Linked DNA regions of Drosophila melanogaster. The protein of the gene in region 2 interacts with the protein of the main gene of each other region in a pairwise test. Each region holds a gene or a part of one and is shown on either strand. Other genes may lie near its edges.

Evidence for each region.
Region 1: the proteins of CG14011 (region 2) and Lipt1 interact in a two-hybrid assay, tested with the Drosophila melanogaster proteins (one large-scale study listed by BioGRID).
Region 3: the proteins of CG14011 (region 2) and eEF1beta interact in a two-hybrid assay, tested with the Drosophila melanogaster proteins (one large-scale study listed by BioGRID).

What each region holds. Positions count from the first base shown.
Region 1 is NT_033778.4:16,195,105-16,200,026, reverse strand, and holds Lipt1 (lipoyltransferase 1), read right to left. Parts: upstream 2,986-4,922; 5' UTR 2,700-2,985; coding exon of another isoform or gene 2,511-2,699; 5' UTR 2,247-2,510; coding exon 1,689-2,246; intron 1,543-1,688; coding exon 1,081-1,542; intron 1,021-1,080; coding exon 850-1,020; 3' UTR 649-849; downstream 1-648. Other genes in the region: Shark (SH2 ankyrin repeat kinase), read left to right, coding at 1-302; CG42837 (uncharacterized protein), read right to left, coding at 2,511-2,699; CG44242 (uncharacterized protein), read right to left, coding at 3,225-3,335, 3,425-3,556; caly (calypso), read left to right, coding at 4,118-4,310, 4,370-4,922.
Region 2 is NT_033779.5:5,578,986-5,582,810, forward strand, and holds CG14011 (uncharacterized protein), read right to left. Parts: upstream 2,132-3,825; 5' UTR 1,981-2,131; intron 1,926-1,980; exon of another isoform or gene 1,918-1,925; 5' UTR 1,907-1,917; coding exon 740-1,906; 3' UTR 595-739; downstream 1-594.
Region 3 is NT_033778.4:16,866,463-16,869,928, forward strand, and holds eEF1beta (eukaryotic translation elongation factor 1 beta), read left to right. Parts: upstream 1-1,759; 5' UTR 1,760-1,849; coding exon 1,850-1,929; intron 1,930-2,028; coding exon 2,029-2,617; 3' UTR 2,618-2,818; downstream 2,819-3,466. Other genes in the region: Psi (P-element somatic inhibitor), read right to left, coding at 1-784, 864-935; CG6426 (uncharacterized protein), read left to right, coding at 3,059-3,140. UniProt on the Drosophila melanogaster protein: EF-1-beta and EF-1-delta stimulate the exchange of GDP bound to EF-1-alpha to GTP.

The DNA.
Region 1 (4,922 bases), on a different chromosome or scaffold from region 2:
ACCTGGGCATCTTCTCGCACGCCAGTGATGTGTGGTCCTTTGGCGTGACCATCTGGGAGATGTTTTCCCTCGGCGCACCGCCATATGGGGAAATATCTAATGTCGATGCCATCAAGTTGGTGGACAGTGGCGAACGCCTGCCGCAGCCCAATCTCTGTCCAGCTTACATCTATGCCGTGATGCAGAGCTGCTGGAAGGAACGACCCAAAGATCGGCCAACCTTTGTCTATCTCACCGAGTTTTTCGCCCGCGATCCTGATTACCAAAACCTGCCGGAATTGGTGCAAACGGTTCACATTTAAGCCAGTTTCCATTTTCCATTTTTTCCGTTCTGAGTGCAATTTTCTGTAGCTATTTATGCAATGTCTTCTATTTCGTTTTCAACGTATTAACGATCTGGAACCCACAGATCACTATTGTTGTTCCGTATCCTAGTATTCATGTTTATAGCTTGTAATATATTTTTTAATCATATGTACAACCAATTTGTGTCAAAAGAAAGCGAACAAGTGCCTTAAAGATTTAGCATATAAGCTTTGTATTCATTTTTACAAATCCATTTTGTTTCATTGGTTATACAAAATAAAAACTATTTTTATACATACTGCGCTTTTTGATTTAGTATTAAATAATACAGCAGTATGCTTTAATAATCAATGTTTAAACATTTAATGCAGTTCTTTTATATAAAACGTGGTAACAAAAGTAAATAGTTTGTTGGTAAACCGCTTAAATACTAGGTTAGTAATATGGTTTCTTGGAAAGATTATAACTACGTTAGCGTGGTTAGTGCTCTAGAAATGGATTATATATTTTTTTGTTAATTTTTTCGAGCTAGCACAACAGTAATCAAGCTGATCCGTTTATTGCCTGCTTCACATTCGATGCGCTGACGAGCTTAAGGGCGCCAAGTATTCCGTTCAGGTTCTCCTCGTTGTAGGGCTTGCCCTGGAGCGGAGTCACCACCGGGACGAGCTGATCGCTCTGCGGCAGCTGGATGCCGATCTCCTTCATTAATCCCTACAAATTTAGTAAAATCATAAGTGATAATTCTCTAAAACAGGGCAAAACAAATCTTACCGCTTCCACTTCCACGCTTAGTTTCAGTTTCATGTCCTGCTCATCGCCCTTCACCTCCAGTTCCTTCTGCACGGTGAACTTGGGAGTCTTGCCGATGACCCAGTCCCAAGAGCTGTAGTTGGAGCGCAATTCCTCAATGCCGGGGAACCATTTCTCTGTGGGATTGACCAGCTGAAAGCCGCGCTGCTGCATCGTCTGTGTGCTGCCGCCGTCTTCAAGCGTAGTTGCAGCCGTTCTCAAATACTCGTAACCCACGGCGGAACGCAGCTGAGCAACGTTCACCGTGCGATTGACATCAACCAGGTTGCGAATGGGCGACGGCACCGAAGCCGTGGCCTTGCTAATATAATTGGCCGGCTCCCGCACCAGAGATTCGCCCAAGTGCAATTTGTTGGCGCTGGCCAAAATGGTGCAGTGATGGTACGAGTTCGGGTGTCCCAGCTTGGCCGCAGTGCCGGAAATCTGTAATTGAACAAGGGCATACTCGTTGAGTGGGCAAATAAAGACCAGATGCACAGCCCCAGCTGTTGGTTAAGTGAGCTGATGCCAATGTGAGGGATCAGCCGGGGTCGCATCATTCCTTGATAAGAGCCACCGCTCCTCCTCACCTTCTTATTCATCACTACAATGTCGTCGCGCTCATTTATCTCTGCCTTGATGGCCCATTCGCGGAACAAGGCCCTGGTCACGATGTTCAGGTTGTACTTGCGATCGTAGCGCTCTCTGGGCGAGAAAAAGGTGCAGTTGAGGTTCCCAAGATCATGGTACACCGCTCCACCGCCACTATTGCGGCGTGCAAGTGTTATGCCGCGTTCCACCAGCTGCGAAACATTAGCCTCGGTGAAGGGATTCTGGTGGCGACCAATGACTACGCACGGGTCGTTGGCCCACAGCAGCAGCACATGGTGGCGGCTGAAATCAAAGTTTTTGTACAGCCAATCCTCTAGAGCGAGGTTGGTGAACACATCGCTGGACTGCGAGATGAACACGGACTTCTTGATCTCCGAATCGGGAACCACGGGCGGTGGCTGGCGCCTCTGCTTTTTAATCTCCTGCTGTCCAGCAGATGGTGGCTCCACTCCGCTGGATGCCAGGCGCGTGGCCTGAGCGGCGGAGGAGAGAAGTAGCCGCAGCTGGCTGGAATTGCGTCGCAACAGCATGCTCATGGCTTACACAAGGAAGTGGGGCGTACGGGTGTGTGTGATTTCTGTTGCCAGGTGATCTGGGACACAATGCACTTGCAAGCGAAACAAGGTCAATGGTGTCGAAAAAAGCTTTTGGCTGGTTGATTGGTTGGTTGGTTGGTTGGTTTCTACGGTTGTCGTCTGCCTGGTTCTGTGTGGTCCGTGTGTGCTCTTCTTTAGGTTATGTATGGTCTACTATCTACGCTATTCGTTTTGGTCTTTAAATGGCTTTGGTCGCTCTGGACTTTAGACTGTGGCGTTCTTAGTGGCTCGGGATGTGTTTGCAGCCACGGAGCTGGCCGAGATGAGGTATTCGTGCAGGGCGGGCGTCTGATGCAGCCACTTCCACGTTTGATGCAGACCACAGACACGCTTACGGAGACCCAGGCAGTCCTTGTTGGCACAGTTCACTGGCATACTACGCCTCACACCCATCCAGGTGGGGGATACAACGAATCCGGTGTTTACGGGGGGCCGCAACGTTACGGGGCCCAAATAAGATGGCTAAAGGGTTTCCTTTTTAGCTGACACCAAAATTTTCCACTCTTTGTTCGCGGCGCACGGGAACTGCGGGGGGCGGGGGCAAGGCGGATGATCGCAGTGGGCGGGGGTAGCAGTTATAGCACAAACAAACGAACGAACACAGAGCCGATCGAAAAGCAGCTGCGCGTGTGGAAATATCACGACCGATTGGCTTTCGTTTCAGATGAGCAGTGGTGCTCGCTGCTCTTGTTCTTCCTCGACGGTCCCCAAATGCCATTCGCAGCGAACGACGAAAGCTCCGGTCATTAAAAAAAAAAAAAAACAACGGCACTCTGGCGCCGCACTTAATTTATTTTCATCTTTTTAATTCGAACTTGTATAATTTACGCTAAACATGTGTGATAATCCGAGACGTCTACAACAGATGTGACATTAATATGTGTTATATTTTATAAGCAGCATACTTTGAGAGCCCCTTCAGTTTGGAATACCCCCATTATTAATGTAAGCCGCCTCTTCGGGATCAATTGGCTTGCGGGCAAATCGTGCCGGCAGCTCGTAGTCCTCAATTGCTGGTCCACCGGCCAACTAAATGTAGAAGGGACAATTACGAAGATTAGTTATGATGCACAGAAGAAGCCGTGGTATTGTGTATAAATGAAATGGGCTGGGTTAACCTTTTTGCCTCCTGCGGCCTGGGAACTTGCCTTCTGGTTTGCTGTCTGGGCGCCCGGCACTCCTGCACCACCCTTGCGGAAGTGTATGAGCGGTACGCGCTTAGCCAGCGCAACTAGTGTTGGTCGAACCATAGCAACAGCAATTGAATTTCTACCAAAAAGCCAAGGCAAAAGTAAAAGTTACGTGAATAACAGCTGACTGTAAACTCATACAAGCGCTGCCAGATCGTTAAAATTGCATGCCATTCGCCGCGCAATGGATTATTATCGTTATTGAAATTTACGTGATCCTGTGAATGGCTAAGGCAGATAAGAGGAAGCGCAAAAAACTATTTTGGTCCAAATCGGTAATATTTTTATATTTAAAATGAATTGGGGACAGAAGATAACCGGCAGCCGACGGCCCTAACTTCTGGACGGACATCGCCAGTATATGGATTGCTCCTAAAACTAGCAAACCAACGTACTTATGCTCTATGCAACAATAAATGTCATATGAAAACAAACTATTGAAGACGTTTTTATGAGTATAACCGGTAACTATTTCATTTGTTTATTATATTAATGACAAATAAACTTATACGTAAACATTCCTTTGATAGATTTTCATGTGTATATCCTTCTCTGTGCAGAAAAACGAAATTAAAGTAACATCTCGGATACTTTCGCAGCAATTGTATAAGCCATACAAATATGAACGCTGCTGGAGGAGGTAGTGGTGCCCAGGCGGCCGCAGTGGCGGCAGGCAACAACAGTCTCAGCCACAATGCGCTACTTTCCACGGCCTCAGGAGCCACCACCATGCCTATGGCCCAACTGGCAGACGGTTGGTTGGAGCTGGAGTCCGACCCAGGTCTCTTCACACTGCTTCTCAAGGATTTTGGATGTAATCTATTTGAATATGCCTTGTTCCACACATCCTATTAAAATATGTACTATCCTTAGGTCACGATGTACAGGTGGAGGAGGTGTACGACCTACAGAAACCCATCGAGAGTCCATATGGCTTCATATTTCTCTTCCGCTGGATCGAAGAGCGACGCGCCAGACGCAAAATTGTGGAGACAACTGCTGAGATATTCGTCAAGGATGAGGAGGCCATTTCCAGCATTTTCTTCGCCCAGCAGGTAGTCCCCAATAGCTGTGCCACACACGCGTTGCTTTCGGTGCTCCTGAACTGCAACGAGAACAATCTTCAGCTGGGCGACACCCTGAGTCGACTAAAAACCCACACCAAAGGCATGAGTCCGGAGAACAAGGGGCTGGCTATTGGCAACACTCCGGAGCTGGCCTGTGCCCATAACTCACACGCAATGCCGCAGGCTCGGCGCCGTCTAGAAAGGACGGGAGCGGGCGTCTCAAGTTGCCGCTTCACGGGTGAGGCGTTTCACTTCGTTAGCTTTGTGCCTATCAATGGACAACTGTTTGAGCTGGATGGCTTGAAACCGTATCCCATGAATCACGGCGGTTGGGAGGATAGCGAGGATTGGACAGATAA
Region 2 (3,825 bases):
AAAAAGTGTATCATGTGCTCACATTGTTGTGAGTGAAAATTTGAGAAATATATAGCAGTAGTGTATAAAATGTTATTTCATTAAATATACAGACATATTCAATCATCTTTGCAATCTTGAGCAAAGCGATGCAAGTAATGGATATCTTATAGTCGATGTAACTATATCTCTCTACCTCTTGCCTTTACTATGGAAATTTCACATAAATTGTTGCATTGTAAATGCATTTGAACACTTTGAGACTGAATATAGACATATATCGCCTAGACGGTCAAATTGGATATATATGATTTATAGCATTTGCTAATGATGATGAGCATGTGTACCGTCGGGGGCATGCAACATCTCCTTTGTGGGGTCAGCTTAATGCAGCTCATTAACGGACCACCGACTCTCCTTGTATGATTGTGTAGCGGTAAACTGAATGCTTTTGACCCACTAATGAGCAAGTGGCCACTAACTGCTAAGAGCTAGTAAACTGATCATCTTTAAGGTGCAAACTGTTCTACATATTCACTTATGGAAATTTATCAAAATTACAATTATCTAAGGCTTACTATGACTTTAGAAAACTAAACCAAGAAACATTCTTTTCGGGTATTTAATAGTGCTAAATAAATAAATATGGTTACACTTGTTAAAACTTTGGTTTCACAGGGCGAGCTAACTCTCACCTTTTAGGCAGCCTGTCCAGGCCATACACTTCTCCCCACCTCCGACCATTTCAAATCCGACCAGCTTAATTCACCCACTGCTTGGGGTTTATAAAGATGTCGGAAACGGTGCCGCGCAGCGACTTCATTCCCTGGCTGGAGGGGACGGGCTTGGGCCTCTGGGCCACGTTGCTCATCCACCGACTGAAGGCCTCTTCCGCCTGCGAGCGGCGGGCGGCCTTCTCCTCCTGGCGCCGCCGCTCGGCATTCCGCTGCTCGAGGCGACGCTGTTCGAGCAGCCTAAGCTTGTGCAGCTCCCACTCCTGCAGGTGATGTTGCACAGACGCCATATTCTTTTGCGGCGGCAGCTGGGCAGAACGGTCGGGCTTGGTGAGCTTGGCGGTACTGGTGGTCTGCTGCGCCTTCTGCTGACACCACTGCTCGTACTTCTCCTTGGCGAGCCGCTGCCTCAGCTCCGTTCGCTGCCGCTGCGCCTCTCTCTCGGCCTGCTGCGCCTGCAACTTGTACTGGCACTGGCGTTGCTTGCCGGACAGCCAGTTCTCGTAGGCCTCACCGGCGGACCGCCGGATATGGAGCGGTTCGATGCGGCGGGTGTAGGTAAGGGGCGGCGATCCTACGCTCGATCCCAGGCGCAGCGAGGGCAGGCTGTGGCTTAGTGGCAACTCGAGCGGGGCCAGCATGCTGTCGTCCCGGGACATGGCCTCCTCCCAGCTGCACATCGAGGTCGTCGAGTCCTTGTCGCTGGAATTGTTGCCGCTGCGGGAAGAGGGGCAGGATCGGCTGCTGCAGCTACTCCGGTCCGTGCTGGTGCTACTGCTGGGACTGCCCAGATGCAGGCAGACCGTCTCCGACTCCGTCTGCAGCTCGATATCCTCTCCCAGTTCACCGACGCGGGGCCCCTCAATTGTCTTGGTCGACTTCAGGGTGCCCAGGGACAAATCCGAGCAGCAGCGCAGAGTGGAGGTCTCCGTCTCGTCCAATGAGTTGACTTCACTGGACGACTCGGAGCTGCCCACGTAGCGCACTGTGCTGGGGCTACCCATAGAGCGCACGAGGCTGTCCTTGTCACAGGTCTTGATGAAAGTCCTGGAACCCTTTCTTCGCGGTAGCAGTACACGAGCCCCCATCTCTCTGGCTTGGCCATCTGAATCCTGCTGGCTGGGCTGGGTCATGCAGAATAGTTCATGGTCGATAAGGGTTCCCTGACTGTTGACTTTGCCCAGAAATGCCATTTTGCAGTGCTCTTCTTTCCTAGGATTCCTCTTCTGAGTACAGATAGTAATCTTTATGGGGCAGATGAACCTACCTTCTTGTGTAGCCAATATTCAAATTCAATACGTCGTCAGGGACGATTTATGGAACACCTTGCTGGCTTCAGAACCGATAAACTTTGAAGTCTATGAAAAGTGTTTAAGTTTGTGTGTTGGAATAGCGAACAATAAACTTTTTCGTTTCTTGACATAAAACTCAAATGAGATGAATAGTCTTAGGTTCATTTTCCCCTTTTCGTTTAAATGTGAATGAATACGACATACCCTTGATTGCATGGGTATGTCCTACATATCCTTGCACCACCCTTTCGACGGCTGCCACCCTTCTCAGCTCAGGACAATGTAATGAAATGGTTGTCTACCGCACGCTTTGCGCTGCATAACATTTAGGTTTCAATTTCTATTAATATGCAATTTAGCTCTTTTTTCCTATTATAATTCTACGTCTGTGGCACACAGCTCCCCCACTCAAGCCCGGGTCCACGGATTGCCGATCGGGCCGCGCACAACTTGATTGCAGCAGCTGAAGTTGCCGCGAACGGTTGTTGCTCTTACATTCTAATCGAAATTTTTATTGTTCATAGTCACGAAAGTGCGCGGCTCTGGAGCGATGACGACAACACGGCGTCGTCTGCGGTGGTGCAGTGGCTCACCGGCTCTACAAGCCGGGTGGAGGTGGTGCGGTGGTGCAGCTGTGGCGGCAAGGTAATGTCAGTTATTTGACAGCGCCGACAGTCGAGTACGCTGCCGTGGCAGACATGCCACACTGCCTCACTGCTACATCACATCGGCTGCTCAAAGCCAGAGGCTGATCTTGGGGGGGATTAAGGGGGCCCTATTTCAGTTGGGTTTCAACTCCACTAACCTTTTTTATATATCAGCCGAAAAACTAGCTGCCCCCAAAAAAGTATATGCTGCCACTGCCACTGGTGCTCAGGTATGATTTCTAGTCGCGATGTTTAAAAGCTAAGCCAAATATGTGCCACTTTGGCATAAAAATTGCCGTGCAGGCCCTCCCACCACGCCCCCTCAGCCTATGACCACATCCGAAAAACAAAAGCGGAAAAGTGGAAAATCAGAAGCAGCAGACGTCGTTGGAAATGCAACCGGCATTATTTTATAATTTACAAACAAGTCGCACGAATGTAGCGACATTTGCAACAGGATTTGCCTTCATCGACAGCCAACGCAGATGGCCGTCCTCGAAACATGAATTTCCATTAGCGGTAGATGTATTTCACAAAACTTTTATTGATAGAAATCGAAATCGGTACCCTAAGGTACATTTACTCGAAACGCATAATTTTGTAAGAAATTTTTGGAACGTTAATGGAAAGATTGTACAATCTCATTGATTACATGGTGTGCTAGGGAAGTAGTGAAATAAACGGCTTGACTATCACATACCTGTCAATTATCAAATCGATTTCAATTCCAAGCTGAGTAAATTCTTAACTTAAAATTAATACATTTTTCGTGTCATTGTGTTCCCACATGATTTGTGAAAATTTCTACCATTATTGCCCTAAACTTAAACGAACCACTTTTGCCACAGACGTTGGATCGGTCTTTGGCCAACTTTTCTTGCTCAGTGCTTTCACTTTCAGGCCAGTCGTGCAATTAATAGGAAAACCCCATTAATGTCCTCCTCACCTCCTTTGCAAGCCAGACAAGAAGTCAGTCAAGGAGGCAGTGAGCTGAGCCCGAAAGGCGGCTGGAATATGACTTATTTAAGTCGGAGCCGCGTGTTAATAACTTTGCAAGCCTCGCCAGGCATGCAAACTTCAACCATGTGAGTGTCCTTCGTTGGATTTTCGCCTCCTTGCTGGCTCTTCTGCGTGTGGCAGGCAGATTAAAGTGACAGACAGGGCTACGCAGGC
Region 3 (3,466 bases), on a different chromosome or scaffold from region 2:
GTGCATCCTTCTGGGCAATCAGATCGAGCACCATCTGCTTGGCGTGCTCTATCTTCTGCGCCTCGCCGGATATGCGAAGGGGTTTGATCAGCTCCTGGTTTGGTCCGTCCTGGATGATGATCATTTTGGCTCCGGTCTTCTCCTGCAGCTGTTTAATGGTATCGCCGCCCTTGCCAATGACCAAGCCCACCTTGGCGCCCGGAATCATGATCTCCTGGTAAGGTGGATACCCGCTAGGTCCCGGTGGCGGCATATTGATCGTCAACAGCACCTCCACCTGTCCCCCGCCAGCCCGATTGGCCATGTTCTGAATCATTTCGCGCCCCTTAGTGACTGTATCCCTTTGACCACGCAACATGATAACGCGATCTTGATCCTGCATGACCTGCACTTTTACACCGGACTCGGCCTGGATGTGGGTGATGGTGTCGTTACTGGAGCGACCCATAAAGGCGCCGGCTACCGATTCGGGCAGACGGATCTGCTCCTCACAGCTTGTTCCCGCCGAGGCGGCCAAACGAGCGGCTACCGCAGCAGCCTGGGCGATTGCCTGAGTAATACTGGCACCGCCGGGACCTCCGCCGCCGCCACCACCACCCCCGCTACCGCTGCTCATGTTGGAGCTGTTGTTGGCGTACTCCGGACTGCCCAAGGAGCGTTTGGATTCCGGACCGCTGTCGCCGTCGTCGTTGATACGCTTAAAGCCAGGCCCTCCACCCGAAGACGGTGGCGATGGACCCGCTGTGCCGCCGCCCTGCTGGCTGGGCTGGATCTTGGCTGCGATCTGGTTTGGGGATTGGGGCAAAAGAAGCCGAATCAATGCCCACTTCCGCTTCTTCCTCTTCCAAGTGGTGGGAACTCACCTGCTTGGCACGCTGAATTGCCTGCGCGAGTGCCTGCGATTGATTGATGCCTTGTTGCTGGAAGTCGCTCATAGTTCTGGGTTTATAATAGGTTCAATTCGGTTCTTTATGGTTACCACTTGTTTTTTTTTTGTTCTGTTTGACCGCACGCGTTGAAAATTCAATAGCCGAAAGCGACGATTTTTTCACAAATGCTGAGGAAATACTATAAACGCTTCCTATGGCATTTGTTTAAGTGGCTTTCGAATGTCTACTCTGCCTTATTGTTGAGCCGTTTTTTTCATGCGCTTCTACGTTTTTTTTTTTAATTTTTCTTTCGGCTTTTCAGTGAAAATTATGCGTTTGCAAAAAAATTGTGTAGCATTATAGCTTGATTGGAGGCGTTTTTTCACCCTCATGATTTTCACTGCAACGGTAACACTGCGCATAAGATATTCACGGTTTTAGTCCGCGCTTTTGGTATATTTGTGTTAAATTAAATATTCAATGACTTATATGAATTTATTTGAAAGTAAAGGATCTACTTAAACTTAATTTCTATTAAGCCCAAGCTCCCAATTTGTGTGAATTTGCCCAAGGAAATGCATATTGTTTTCACAAGTTACAAAGTAGAAGCATACAATTTCTATACAATTTTTTTCCTTTTCAGAATATTAAATGTAATTGTTTGGCCTTAAATTTACGTAGCCAATAGCTAGCTTAAGTATAAGGTATTAATTATAATCCTTATGTTTTATTAAAAAAAATACAAGTAAGCGTTAAAAATCTATTTGAATGTATGGTATATTTGAACGATATTTACTCAAACTCCGGGTCACCCTGTGTTGCAACTACTTGAAATACTAGGAAAAAGTCAGTATTTTCATTATATGTTTAAAGACCGTTTCCCGCGAAGGTCACTCTGTTCTTCTTTCGTCGGCAACGTTGCGCAGAGCACGGCTCCAGATTTGTTAAACGCGAATTTACCCCACAAAAACGCATTTAAAATGGCATTCGGTGATGTGACCACCCCGCAGGGACTGAAGGAGTTGAACGCCTTCCTGGCCGACAACAGCTACATCAGCGGGTAAGCACGCGTCATTAAATGTGAGGTTATGTACGACCTCACCACGTCGGCAGATGTATTGATCGAATAATTTTCTACCCATTACTATACTCCCATTAGATATACTCCCAGCAAGGCCGATCTGTCCGTGTTCGATGCTCTGGGCAAGGCCCCCTCTGCCGACAATGTGAACGTGGCCCGCTGGTACCGCCACATCGCCTCCTTTGAGGCCGCTGAGCGTGCCGCTTGGTCGGGTACTCCTCTGCCCCAGTTGGCCGGTGGAAAGCCCACAGTGGCTGCTGCTGCCAAGCCCGCCGCCGACGATGACGACGATGTGGATCTATTCGGATCCGACGACGAGGAGGACGAGGAGGCCGAGCGCATCAAGCAGGAGCGAGTTGCCGCTTACGCCGCCAAGAAGTCTAAGAAACCCGCCCTCATTGCCAAGTCGTCGGTGCTCCTCGATGTCAAGCCCTGGGATGACGAGACCGACATGAAGGAGATGGAGAACAATGTCCGCACCATCGAAATGGACGGTCTGCTGTGGGGCGCCTCCAAACTGGTCCCAGTCGGCTATGGCATCAACAAGTTGCAGATCATGTGCGTCATCGAGGACGACAAGGTGTCCATCGATTTGCTGCAGGAGAAGATCGAGGAGTTCGAGGACTTTGTTCAGTCTGTCGACATTGCTGCCTTCAACAAGATCTAAACATCTGAGATTCTTATATTAACAATAAACTTGAGCAAAGCGAACTAAGCAAATATAGTTGTCTTCATATTTAAATAAAATATTTCACATGAAAGCTGCAATAAGCCAATCATAATTCAGATTGTAAAAACACATCAGTTTTATTGGAATAATGATTGAAATTTTGTAATTTTCACCAAAAAGTATACTTTTATAATCGGTAAAAATCTCTAATCTCTTTAGTTGGCTTGCTGGCTCTCTCAAGTTCTCAGCTTAAGTCTTCCGTTTTGAAGCTTTCGGCGAGCTTTTGTCAACAAAAAAGCGAAGCTCGTAGCACTTTCAGCTCAGTTGATCGGGCAGCTCGATAGAGGTCGGTTGTTTACAGATAGTTGTGATACTGTTCAGTGACTTTTCAAATTGCATTTGCAAACAAATATTTTTCGGACACAAGTACTGCTTATAATGGCTGCCAACAAATTGTGCTGCACTTTGGCTATTGGCGCTCTTTTGTGTCTGGGATTCGCAGCCCTCATTCAAGCTCAGGGTGAGTTAAATACATCGAAAACTATATATTTACATTATATAGGCGAGAACATTTCCGTTCTTGTTATTGTTCGCGAGACGTATTTGTTACGCATTTGCTGAGATTTGCTTTTAACACGAAATATACAAATACCTGATCGTCTGCATTCATTAACATTAATTAGCAATTGTATAGATATTTGAGTCTTTTGTTCTGCGCCAAGACATGTTTCGTTCTTGAGCGGATTTCCCAGATATATTTATCCATCCATCGTGTTTGTCGCCATTTGCATACGACAAGTATCTGGAGGTTGACAAACGTCCATTTAAACTCGGGGATTTCTGATC